Macaca fascicularis: one gene and its partners. The protein of the gene in region 2 interacts with the protein of the main gene of each other region in a biochemical or structural test. Links are inferred from orthologs where the notes say so. Each region holds a gene or a part of one and is shown on either strand. Other genes may lie near its edges.

Region 1 (3,653 bases), on a different chromosome or scaffold from region 2:
AGACAGAGTCTTGCCATGTTGTCCAGGCTGGTCTCAAACTCCTGGCCTCAAGTAATCCTCTTGCCTCGGCCTCCCAAAGTGCTGGGTGGCATGAGCCACCACACGAAGCCTAACTTTGTTGAGCTAGTTATTTTAAATGAACTAGACTTATATTCCCTGAGTTTTTTCCATTCCTTATTTTGATCAAATTTTTTTAGTAGTAAGTAGTTTAAAAATCAGGGATTTAAAAATCGTGTTATTCTGGAAATGACCCAGCACATACTTGTTAATAGCAAAATATTGATGTGTTTGATGTGTAGATAAGTTGGTAAGTCAGGATTGTCTCCAGGGAGTTACTTCATTCATATATTGATATGCTGGGCAAGAGAGGCTTGGCATTTCTCTCCACAGTGTATTGCCACCAGAGATACATGATCCTGATTTTGTAGTGCTCATTTGACAGCATTGGGAGTAGCTTCAGGCCAGGTGCAGCAGCCCCCACCTGTAATCCCAGTGCTTTGGGAGGCTGAGGCGGGAGGATTGCTTGAGCCCAGGAGTTCAGGCCAGCTGGGGCAACATAACAAAACTCCATCTGTACAGAAAATTTAAAAATTAACCAGGCATGGTAGTGTGCACCTGTACCTCCCTCCTTAATTGAGAGGCTGAGGTGGGAAGATCACTTGAGCCCAGGAGTTCAAGGTTGCAGTGAGCTATGATCATGCCACTGTACTCCAGGTTGGGTGACAGAGCGAGACCCCGTGTCTTTTTTTTTTTTTTTTTTTTTGAGACGGAGTCTCGCTCTATCTATTGCCCAGGCTGGAGTGCAATGGCACTCAGCTCACTGCAACATCTGCCTCCCGGGTTCAAGCAATTCTCTTGCCTCAGCCTCCCGAATAGCTGAGATTACAGGCACCCACCACGAGGCCCAGCTAATTTTTGTATTTTTAGTAGAGACAAGATTTCACCATGTTAGCCAGGCTGATCTCAAACTCCTGACCTCAGGTGATTCTCCTGCCTCAGCCTCCCAAAGGGCTGGGATTACAAGCATGAGCCAGCGTGCCTGGCCAAAACCCCATGTCTTTAAAAAAAGAAGAAAGGAAAAAAAAGTAGTTTGATGTGTTATCCTTTCAGCGTCCAAGCCATCTTCCCAACACCTGATCCCGCAGCTCTAAAGGATCGCCGCATGGAAAACCTGGTAGCCTATGCTAAGAAAGTGGAAGGGGACATGTACGAGTCTGCCAACAGCAGGGTAGGTTGCTGCTTATCGTGCTCTGGCCTCTACAGCATCTGTAGTAGACAGCACTGCATTTGTCTGCTTTGTTATCTAGAAATTGTGGAATCTGTGTAGTTGGGAGAAACTCCTCACCTTGAGGCCACTGGCCAAAGAGACTTCCCAGATAAGACACAAATTTCCTGCAGAACTCTCTTGGTTAGTTACATTGGTACATGGAATATATAAATTTACATTATGTCCATGGGATATATTTTTCACAGTAGGTGGTGGGTGTAATATTGCTAGCATCAGTGAATATTCAAAAGTTCATTGGTATGAAGTGGGCCGTGTATTTAGTACCTATTATTTGATATGTCCTATAAAGCTCCTGGTGCATCAAGTATTTATTTGCATACTTACTTTTGCCAGTGTACTCAATGAAGAAGTTCATTAGTTGGAACCTACAACACAGATCATTCAGTTGCTTTTTACAGTTTTAACTGTTTCATATTGAATATTGTTGCTTTTTAGGATGAATATTATCACTTATTAGCAGAGAAAATCTACAAGATACAAAAAGAACTAGAAGAAAAACGGAGGTCGCGTTTACATAAACAAGGCATCTTGGGGAACCAGCCAGCCTTACCAGCCCCGGGGACTCAGCCCCCTGTGATTCCACAGGCACAACCTGTGAGACCTCCAAGTAAGCATTTTATTTCCTTCTGCCATCCCTTAGCCTGTTTCCTTGGTTTTCCTTCGTGTTTGGGGTGTATTTCTAAGAACAGAGAATTAGAATCTCTGATGCGTGCACTGCGGAAACTGTTGATGTGGCAGTGGCCCTGACCACCTGCCTCAGGCTGTGTTGGGACACTGAGTTTCTCTCTTGGGAAGGCCCTTTACAGGGTCCGCTGGCATTGGAACACACGTGCCTTTGGACCTATTGGCTGTTTTCCCTTTTAAGTTTGAAGTCCTAATAAGACATTTCCTATTCCTGAATCAAGGATTATATTAAATAACTAGGGTGGTTTTGTTTTTGTTTTTGTTTTGCCGCCATAGATGGACCTCTGTCCCTGCCAGTGAATCGCATGCAAGTTTCTCAAGGTATTGAACTATTTGCTGTGAATCATATTTTAGTTTAACATTCAACAGCCATAACTTTCACTGTTTTTTTCCTCTCCCCCTGTGTATTTCTTTCTAGTCCTTTCTTCTTTCCATTCCTTTTTGCTGATGAGCAGAATTGTTCTACAGGTAGTATGGATCTGTTTATAGTATGAAATTTGGAGATTATAGGAAAGATCTTTCAAGAAATAAGAAGCAGTTTTTAGCTATTTATTTTATTTTATTTTTATTTTTATTTTTTTGAGGTGGAGTCTCGCTCTGTGGCCCAGGCTGGAGTGCAGTGACGTGATCTTGGATCACTGCAAGCCCTGCCTCCTGGGTTCACACCATTCTCCTGCCTTAGCCTCCCCAGCAGCTGGGACTACAGGCACCGGCCACCATGCCCGGCTAATTTTTTGTATTTTTAATAGAGATGGGGTTTCACTGTGTTAGACAGGATGGTCTTGATCTCCTGACCTTGTGATCCACCTGCCTCAGCCTCCCAAAGTGCTGGGATTACAGGCATGAGAGCCCCTGCACCCAGCCTTAGCTTTTTTTAAATTTTATTTTATTTTATTTTATTTTACTTATTTGTTTTGAGACAGAGTCTCACTCTGTTGCCCAGGCTGGAGTGCAGTGGTGCAATCTCGGCTCACTGCAAGCTCTGCCTCCTGGGTTCACGCTATTTTCCTGCCTCAGCCTCCCAAGTAGCTACAACTATAGGTGCCCACTACCACGTCCGGCTAATTTTTTGTATTTTTAGTAGAGACGGGGTTTCACTGTGTTAGCCAGGATGGTCTCGATCTCCTGACCTTGTGATCTGCCTGCCTCAGCCTCCCAAAGTGCTGGGATTGCAGTTGTGAGCCACTGCGCCCAGCCCAGCTTTTTATTTTTTTAATGGATGGTGAAGGGGCATGGTACATTAGTCTTAGGAAGAGTCTGAGAAAGAAGCACTCTAGATGTGGGGAGGGAGTGCTTCTCAGTGCTGAGAAGGAGAGGCATGCAAGACACTCCTAGACTGCTGAGCACTTGCACAGGCTGACATGGGGACGGCACGGGCTGCTCCTGGCCCTAGGGGTTAAGCCCAGCTGGCTGGATGTCAACTTCTGGAGAGTGTGTACACACAGGTCCTGTGCCAGGTTGGGGTGGCAGCAGCTGTCTCAACAACCTTGAAAGTTTCTTAAGTAGAGAGCCTATGGTTTTTGGTTGATTGAAGCAGTGATTTTTATTTCGGGGCAGGGAGCATTTGAAAACCCTGTAGCTCTTGACTATTGAGACCCAAGCAGGAGGACATTTTTCCAGATTGTGAAACAAGGTGGTGACATTATCCAGAAGACTCTGAGGAAAGAGGCTTTATTGTGGT
Region 2 (3,753 bases):
AAATCTATACAAAGCTGAAAAGTATAAACTAGCCATACACTGTAACATGGATGAACCTCAAAATACTGACAGAAGCTAGACAGCAGAATACATATGCCATTTATGCCAACTTCAAAGCAGGCAAAACAAATTGATGGTGTTAGAAATCAGGATGCGGTTTTCTCAAGGGAGGGGGAATGACTGAGGACAGAGACTTTGCTAGTGTCTTAGCTAGTGCTAGTGGTATCTGATTTCCTTACCTGGGTAGTAGCTATGTATGTGCTCACTTTGTGACTGAGCTGCCCACTTTTAAAATCTGCGTGCTAATGTCATTAAAAAAAGGTAAAAGCAAGGTAGTGAATGGAGTTTAAATCAGGTCACTTTTGGGGAGAAGAGAGGTTAGAACTATTTGTATACACTTGTTAAATCATAAGCACGAGGAAAACACCAAAAGACTAGTAACTATGGCTGATCTGGGGAGACTTGAGAGACTACTTTTCATGGTTTTAGTCTATTGTAATTTTGCTTTTGGACCATTTGTATGTGTTACCTATCAAAATAAAAGTATGCTAAATTGGTAAACTTTTAACCAAATTACCCACAATACAAAAGAGGAACCATACAAATGGGGTGGCGCAGGTGGTAACAGAGAGAAACAATGGGGAGGAATAGGGAAACCACCACCACTGACATTAAAACATCTAAAGTACCAGATAATCCCAAACCCCATTTTAGAGCTATCATTTATTGGGTATGCACTGTATTGCTGGTGTTACACATTTATTATTGTCAATCTCCACAGCAATCCTGCAAGAAAGGCCTATTTCCCATTTTAAAAGATTATGCTCACAGAATGATTTGCCTGAAGTCATGGAACTAGTAAGTGGCGAAGCTTACATTTGAACTCAAAATATGTGTATTCTTCTGTGAGGTCACCAGCCAGTTTCACGGCCTAGCAACAATACATCTTCCTGAGGGAAAAACATGCAAAAGATAGAAATAATATATTTAGGCTGGGCATAGTGGCTCATACCTGTTACCACAGCACTTTGGCAGGCCAAAGTCGGAGGACTGTTTGGGCCCAGGAGTTCGGGCCCAGCCTGGGCAATGTAACTAGGCCTTGTCTCTACAAAAATAAAAAGTAATAAAATTAAAAAATAAAAAAATTAGCCAGGCACACTAAAAAAATTAGTGTGCACCTATGGTCCCAGCTACTCAGGAGGCTGAGGTGGGAGGATCACCTGAACTGGGGAGGTCATGGCTGCAGTGAGCCATGATTGTGCCACTTGCACTTCAGCCCAGGCCTGTTCCAAAAAAATAAAAATTCTACATTTAACTTTGTCACTGATAGAAAAACTTGAGCAATAACTGCCATGATACATAAATTGCACATATCTAGAAAAAAATTCAGACTTAAAAAGCCATGACAGAATTTAAGTCATATTTGAGTGATTTGGGGAGCCAAAGTTTTCCATTTACCTACAAGGAGGCCTCACCTGACAGACCACCACCCAGACAGAATGACTGAGCATCCAATCCAAGAATCAGAATCAGTAAACAAGAGTGTCACTGGCTTTATGAGTTCTGTTCAAACAGTACATTAGCTAAAGCGCATCCCACCCCAAATTCTTTTCTTCTAACCATAAAATGTAAGTCTTGGCAGTTACCAGAAAAGGCTATTTTGTAAAAATGGCTTTCACTGTGAAATTAACCAATTTCACAGCTGATAGGGTCAGAAAAATGGTGCCAGAGTTCCAGAACCTGTAGAATTAATTTGATACTTTTAACACAGCATTAGTTAACCAAAGGCCAGGTGTGGATAACAAGAAACAGGTTATCTTAGACTCTACACTCTAACACTATCCTTGGAAAAGTCAACATTGGCATGACTCAGTTTACACTTACGCAAAAATACTAATATCTACCTCATAGTGGTAATGAGAGATATAATTAGGGTCTGCAAGCATTTTTCAGGTCACAAGATTAAAGGCTGTCTCTGAGGGTACTGCATGCATTTCCTGTAGATATGAGTACATTGCATTTTTAAATATATACTGAAGAGCAACCTCCCAGCACACATAACTAAATTTCTTATGCAAGATTTTCTTCAGAAGGACACAGGCAACAATATTTGTAAACAAATCCTTTAGCATGGAACTAATCAACTCTTCCGATGGCTCTAACTTCCACTTTCGAGGCCCGCTGTGATGGTAACCTGGTTCCATCTGGCTTACCAATGCTGACGTTCCCAACTTCCTAGCTGTCAGATCGATAGGGACCCGGAACCAACTATTTCCCGTTCCTTTGAAAAGGAGAAATTACGGACCTCGGGTTGTTTGGGCCGTAGACGAAAACAACAAGCTGGGGGAGGGGCGGAGGTAGAAGGAGAAGAAAATAAAGGGAGGTTGAAATATTCAGAAAAGACGAGGACAAGGGCTAGGGACACAGAAGCCCACCAGGACCCACAAAGAGTGATGTCTACATGAGAAGACGACATAAGACTCCGAAGCAATAACGTCAACAGCTGGGTAACCCCTCCGACACCCTGACAGTCCTGCCGTCTGGAAGTGCCTTTGTCCCGGCCGGTCGGCCAGTCCCGCCGCTTCTCTCCCATACCCCTCGGTGCTTAGTCCGACTAGGCTGCCCGGAGGCCGCCTGAAAGCCCGCGGCGCTCGCGCCCGCCCCTCAGCTCGCCGGGCTGGGCCGGACATACTAACCGGCTGGTAGACGCCATCTTCAGGGCCACTGCGGTGCCCGCAACAAGCCACAACAGATCCGCCGAAAACAGGAAACGAGTGTGGCGAAGAGACGCGCAGAGATGAGTTTTTATAGACGACTCACCCACGCAGTCGTAACAGAGCGGGGCTACGGGTCGGGAGAAGGGCCAAGAACAGTGAGATCCCATACGTCACGCGCTTTGAGATTTCTTACGTTTTTACTCCGTTTCTGTAATTTGCTATGTTGCTAAGCGAGTCAACGTAACTGCCTAGGAAGAGTCTCATGGGAACCCTGCAAATGGGCTACAACAGAGCTACTCTCAATCTGACAGAGTTAAAACACGAAGAAAACCCTGGCTTCGTAGTGGTGCCAAAGCCTGCATCCCTAAAAGTCTAACCACCCCTTCCTCTCCCACCTTCTCACCGCCACCCCCCGGCCCCAGTACCCCACCCGGCTTCAGGCACTCCCATTTGAGCCGGTTCTTATGTGCCCCAAGGGTGATTCTTTCTAAGGAATTCAAAATAAAAAGAGAAATTCACTTAGGTCATCCAGAACAGGTGTCTCTTCAGGCTCTGTCATCAACTAGCATGTTATCTTCTTAGGCACGTCGTTTTGATACAGGGTATGTAGGTTTATATAGGTTATAGTATCTTGCCTTGCATACCCTTTTAGAATTGGCAGGAGATGAAACAAAATTACGTGAGACCAATGTGTGCATGAGAGGCACGACGATATGGGTCATACTCTGATCATTTTTTTTTTCATGGCCTTTGCAAATTTGGCTGATAGCTACGTATAGAAAACTTGGCAGAACATCTAGATAATGCAAAATATCCCTAGATTTATTAGCCAAATTAACGTCAAAATAGTAATCCCACTACTACTAACAACAATAACACTGGTGGAGGGTGTTCAGGTTCTTGACGTTTTGAACAAAGAACTGGACAAAACGCACAAAGCAAGGAACGAATGAAGCAACAAAGGCAGATTTATTGAAAACGAAAGTACACGCCACAGAGCGGCAGCGACCAGGGCAGAGGAGCTCAAGACTACCTT
Region 3 (2,933 bases), on a different chromosome or scaffold from region 2:
TTTTCCTGCAAACACTATGGCAACTTGAGCATTTGCTACTTCTTGGTTGCAGCATCCAGGAGCAGCTGACAAAATGAATGAGTGAAAAACAACTTTTCCCTGTGCTTAGTTTACTTAAGCTTCTTTGTTTTGTTTGATGGTCTTGATGGTATGATTTTGGATTGCTTAATATATAATAATTTGTGCTAGAAAAAACTAACATATACATGTATTGTTTTCATTAAAAAATTAATTGAAGAGAAAGAGAAAAGCAATATTTTAATGCCCCAGGAACTGAAACTAACCTTTTCTGTCTCCACTGGACCCCTACATCCCTCTTTTGATTTGCTGGTGTCATTTGCCATGTATTGGTCAATACATGTCTGCTGGGTGAGCAATAAAATTCTGGGGGCAAGCCAGTTTTGAGAAGTTTATAATCTGACTGGGGGAGACATATCTTGAAATTTTGGAAAGATACTTTACTTTTAACTATCTTAAAAGCAAACAAAAGAAACATCAATTGACCATGATTCTGCACGTTTCTCACCTCAGTATCACTACGGTAAAACAAGCTAATCATGAACACTGCCATTTCACTACAAACTTAAATGCTCTCCTTTTATTAACGTTGAGTATGAACACGAAACATGATCACCTGTTTAAAAGAAAAACACCGCTTTGTTCTTTGACAATTTCAAAATAAGGAACTTTGGCTTTTTATTCCTTTTAAGAGTTTCTGTAGTTGACTTTTTTTCTTGCTATACAATTCTCCTTGGATCTGTATTACCTCAGCTCCTCAGATCCAGCAAGGGTAGAGAGTCCTCATTTAAAAAACATTTCCTAATTGTACACATTAAAAGCTAATATTTAAGAAAAACCCTCTTAATCCTCCAACCCCTGTTCCTATTGTGAGTAATCTGGTTTAATACAAGTTAAGTCTATAAATAAATTTGTTCTTTCTCCTCAAAAAAACAGTTAAGAAACTTTACAAGAATTACAGGTTTAAAAAATTTACCGAGAGAAATGAAAGTATTGTCACTTAACCATTATTAACATACGGTGTTCAAGCCTTCCAGTATCAGCGCCTATAGCACAGCATCGCCGCTAGCTGTTTCACTAGCATGCTGACGAGGAGGCTTCTCAGTCACTCTTTTCTTCTCCTTGATAGTGTCTGTACTCTGGCTTCAGCTCCCATGTGTTTTTGTGGATCCCTTTTACATTCTGAACACCAATTTCTTTTAAGATTTCCTTCAGGTACACCTAAAACAAAAACAAAACCCCTTAACAAATGAGATTATAAAGGCAGGGAACAAAACTTAAAATAAGGTGATATGCCGAAACACATATGCAAGTCATAAAAAGTATGATCCTAAAAGCTCAGCAAGATTTCTCTATAAGGAGGTTCAATAAACTGCCTTTTGATTCTACATGTGCGATGATAACTGCACTAAACGCACTAAAAAACTGCACTAAATATACGATCATGTGCATTAAAGGGGTTGAAAGTCCTGAATGCCAACAACTTAAAAGCTAAAATAAACAACAACGACAACAAAAAACCCCACAAAAAACACAGATGAAATACACGAAAAAATTACTGGTCCTGGCCGGGCGCGGTGGCTCAAGCCTGTAATCCCAGCACTTTGGGAGGCCGAGACGGGCGGATCACAAGGTCAGGAGATCGAGACCATCCTGGCTAACATGGTGAAACCCCGTCTCTACTAAAAATACAAAAAACTAGCTGGGCGAGGTGGCGGGTGCCTGTAGTCCCAGCTACTCCGGAGGCTGAGGCAGGAGAATGGCGTGAACCCGGGAGGCGGAGCTTGCAGTGAGCTGAGACCCGGCCACTGCACTCCAGCCTGGGCGACAGAGCGAGACTCCGTCTCAAAAAAAAAAAAAAAAAAAAAATTACTGGTCCTCACTCAATGTGACACAGTACACCAAGTGTAATCTGCCCTTGAGTTCAATGGACTCAGTTTACAGACTGAAACCAGTAGTTTCAGGAGCAGTAACATATATAAAAAATGAGTAACATTTTTGAGAATATTCTATCAAGAAAGCATATGACAGGTATCCAGAATTCTCAGTTCTCAGATGAGTTCTCAAATTTGTTATTAGGCCACCCACTTATTTTTTCCTATGCAAGAAGGAGAACTGTTATTTGTATTTACTTCTATTTGTACTTTATCCAAGCTTGCCAACACAGATAAGGGAATAAGAAGTGATAATAAGGCTGGGCTTGGTGGCTCACGCCTGTAATCCCAACACTTTGGGAGGCCGAGGTGGGCGGATCACCTAAAGTCAGGAGTTCGGGACCAGCCTGGCCACCATGGTGAAATCTCGTCTCTACTAAAAATACAAAAATTAGCCAGGCATGGTGGTAGGGACCTGTAATCCCAGCTACTAGAGAGGCTGAGGCAGGAGAATCGCTTGAACCCAGAAATTGCAGTGAGCCGAGATTGTGCCATTGCACTCCAGCCTGGGCAATAAGAACGAAACTCTGTCTAAAAAAAAAAGTGATAAGACATCCCCCAAAACTATCAGGGATGCAGCTTTGTGTTTGGCTTCTCCAAAGAAAACAGTCTGTAGTATGGTGTTTTAGGTCCCTAAAAATTCAATAAACATTTACTAAGCGATTACTATGGTCATGGAAATGATGGCTATTTAAGTGTAATACGAAACTCCACCTTTGCTTGCCAATGCTGAAGGCCAAAAAGCATTCCACAATAAGCTGACCAATATAAATTACAAAATTTCCTTCTCAGAGAAGAAAGATAATAATAATAATTACTATTATTTTGAGACGGAGTTTTGCTCTTATTGCCCAGGCTGGAGTGCAGTGGCATGATCTCGGCTCAATGCAATCTTTTGCCTCCTGGGTTCAAGCGATTCTCCTGCCTCAGCCACCTGAGTAGCTGAGATTACAGGTGCACGCCACCATACCCAGCTAATTT

Evidence for each region.
Region 1: the proteins of GTF2B (region 2) and CREBBP form a complex in vitro, tested with the Homo sapiens proteins (2 studies listed by BioGRID). The link is inferred for Macaca fascicularis from reciprocal best matches to the Homo sapiens genes GTF2B and CREBBP.
Region 3: the proteins of GTF2B (region 2) and GTF2F2 form a complex in vitro, tested with the Homo sapiens proteins (2 studies listed by BioGRID and IntAct). The link is inferred for Macaca fascicularis from reciprocal best matches to the Homo sapiens genes GTF2B and GTF2F2.

Annotation. Positions count from the first base shown.
Region 1 is NC_088394.1:4,558,316-4,561,968, reverse strand, and holds part of CREBBP (CREB-binding protein), read left to right. Parts: intron 1-1,110; coding exon 1,111-1,228; intron 1,229-1,723; coding exon 1,724-1,895; intron 1,896-2,248; coding exon 2,249-2,293; intron 2,294-3,653. UniProt on the Homo sapiens protein: Acetylates histones, giving a specific tag for transcriptional activation. Mediates acetylation of histone H3 at 'Lys-18' and 'Lys-27' (H3K18ac and H3K27ac, respectively).
Region 2 is NC_088375.1:145,803,568-145,807,320, reverse strand, and holds the start of GTF2B (transcription initiation factor IIB), read right to left. Parts: upstream 2,782-3,753; 5' UTR 2,714-2,781; coding exon of another isoform or gene 2,697-2,713; 5' UTR 2,594-2,696; coding exon 2,436-2,593; intron 2,432-2,435; exon of another isoform or gene 2,214-2,431; intron 1-2,213. UniProt on the Homo sapiens protein: General transcription factor that plays a role in transcription initiation by RNA polymerase II (Pol II). Involved in the pre-initiation complex (PIC) formation and Pol II recruitment at promoter DNA.
Region 3 is NC_088391.1:24,532,812-24,535,744, reverse strand, and holds the end of GTF2F2 (general transcription factor IIF subunit 2), read right to left. Parts: intron 1,240-2,933; coding exon 1,120-1,239; 3' UTR 571-1,119; downstream 1-570. UniProt on the Homo sapiens protein: TFIIF is a general transcription initiation factor that binds to RNA polymerase II and helps to recruit it to the initiation complex in collaboration with TFIIB.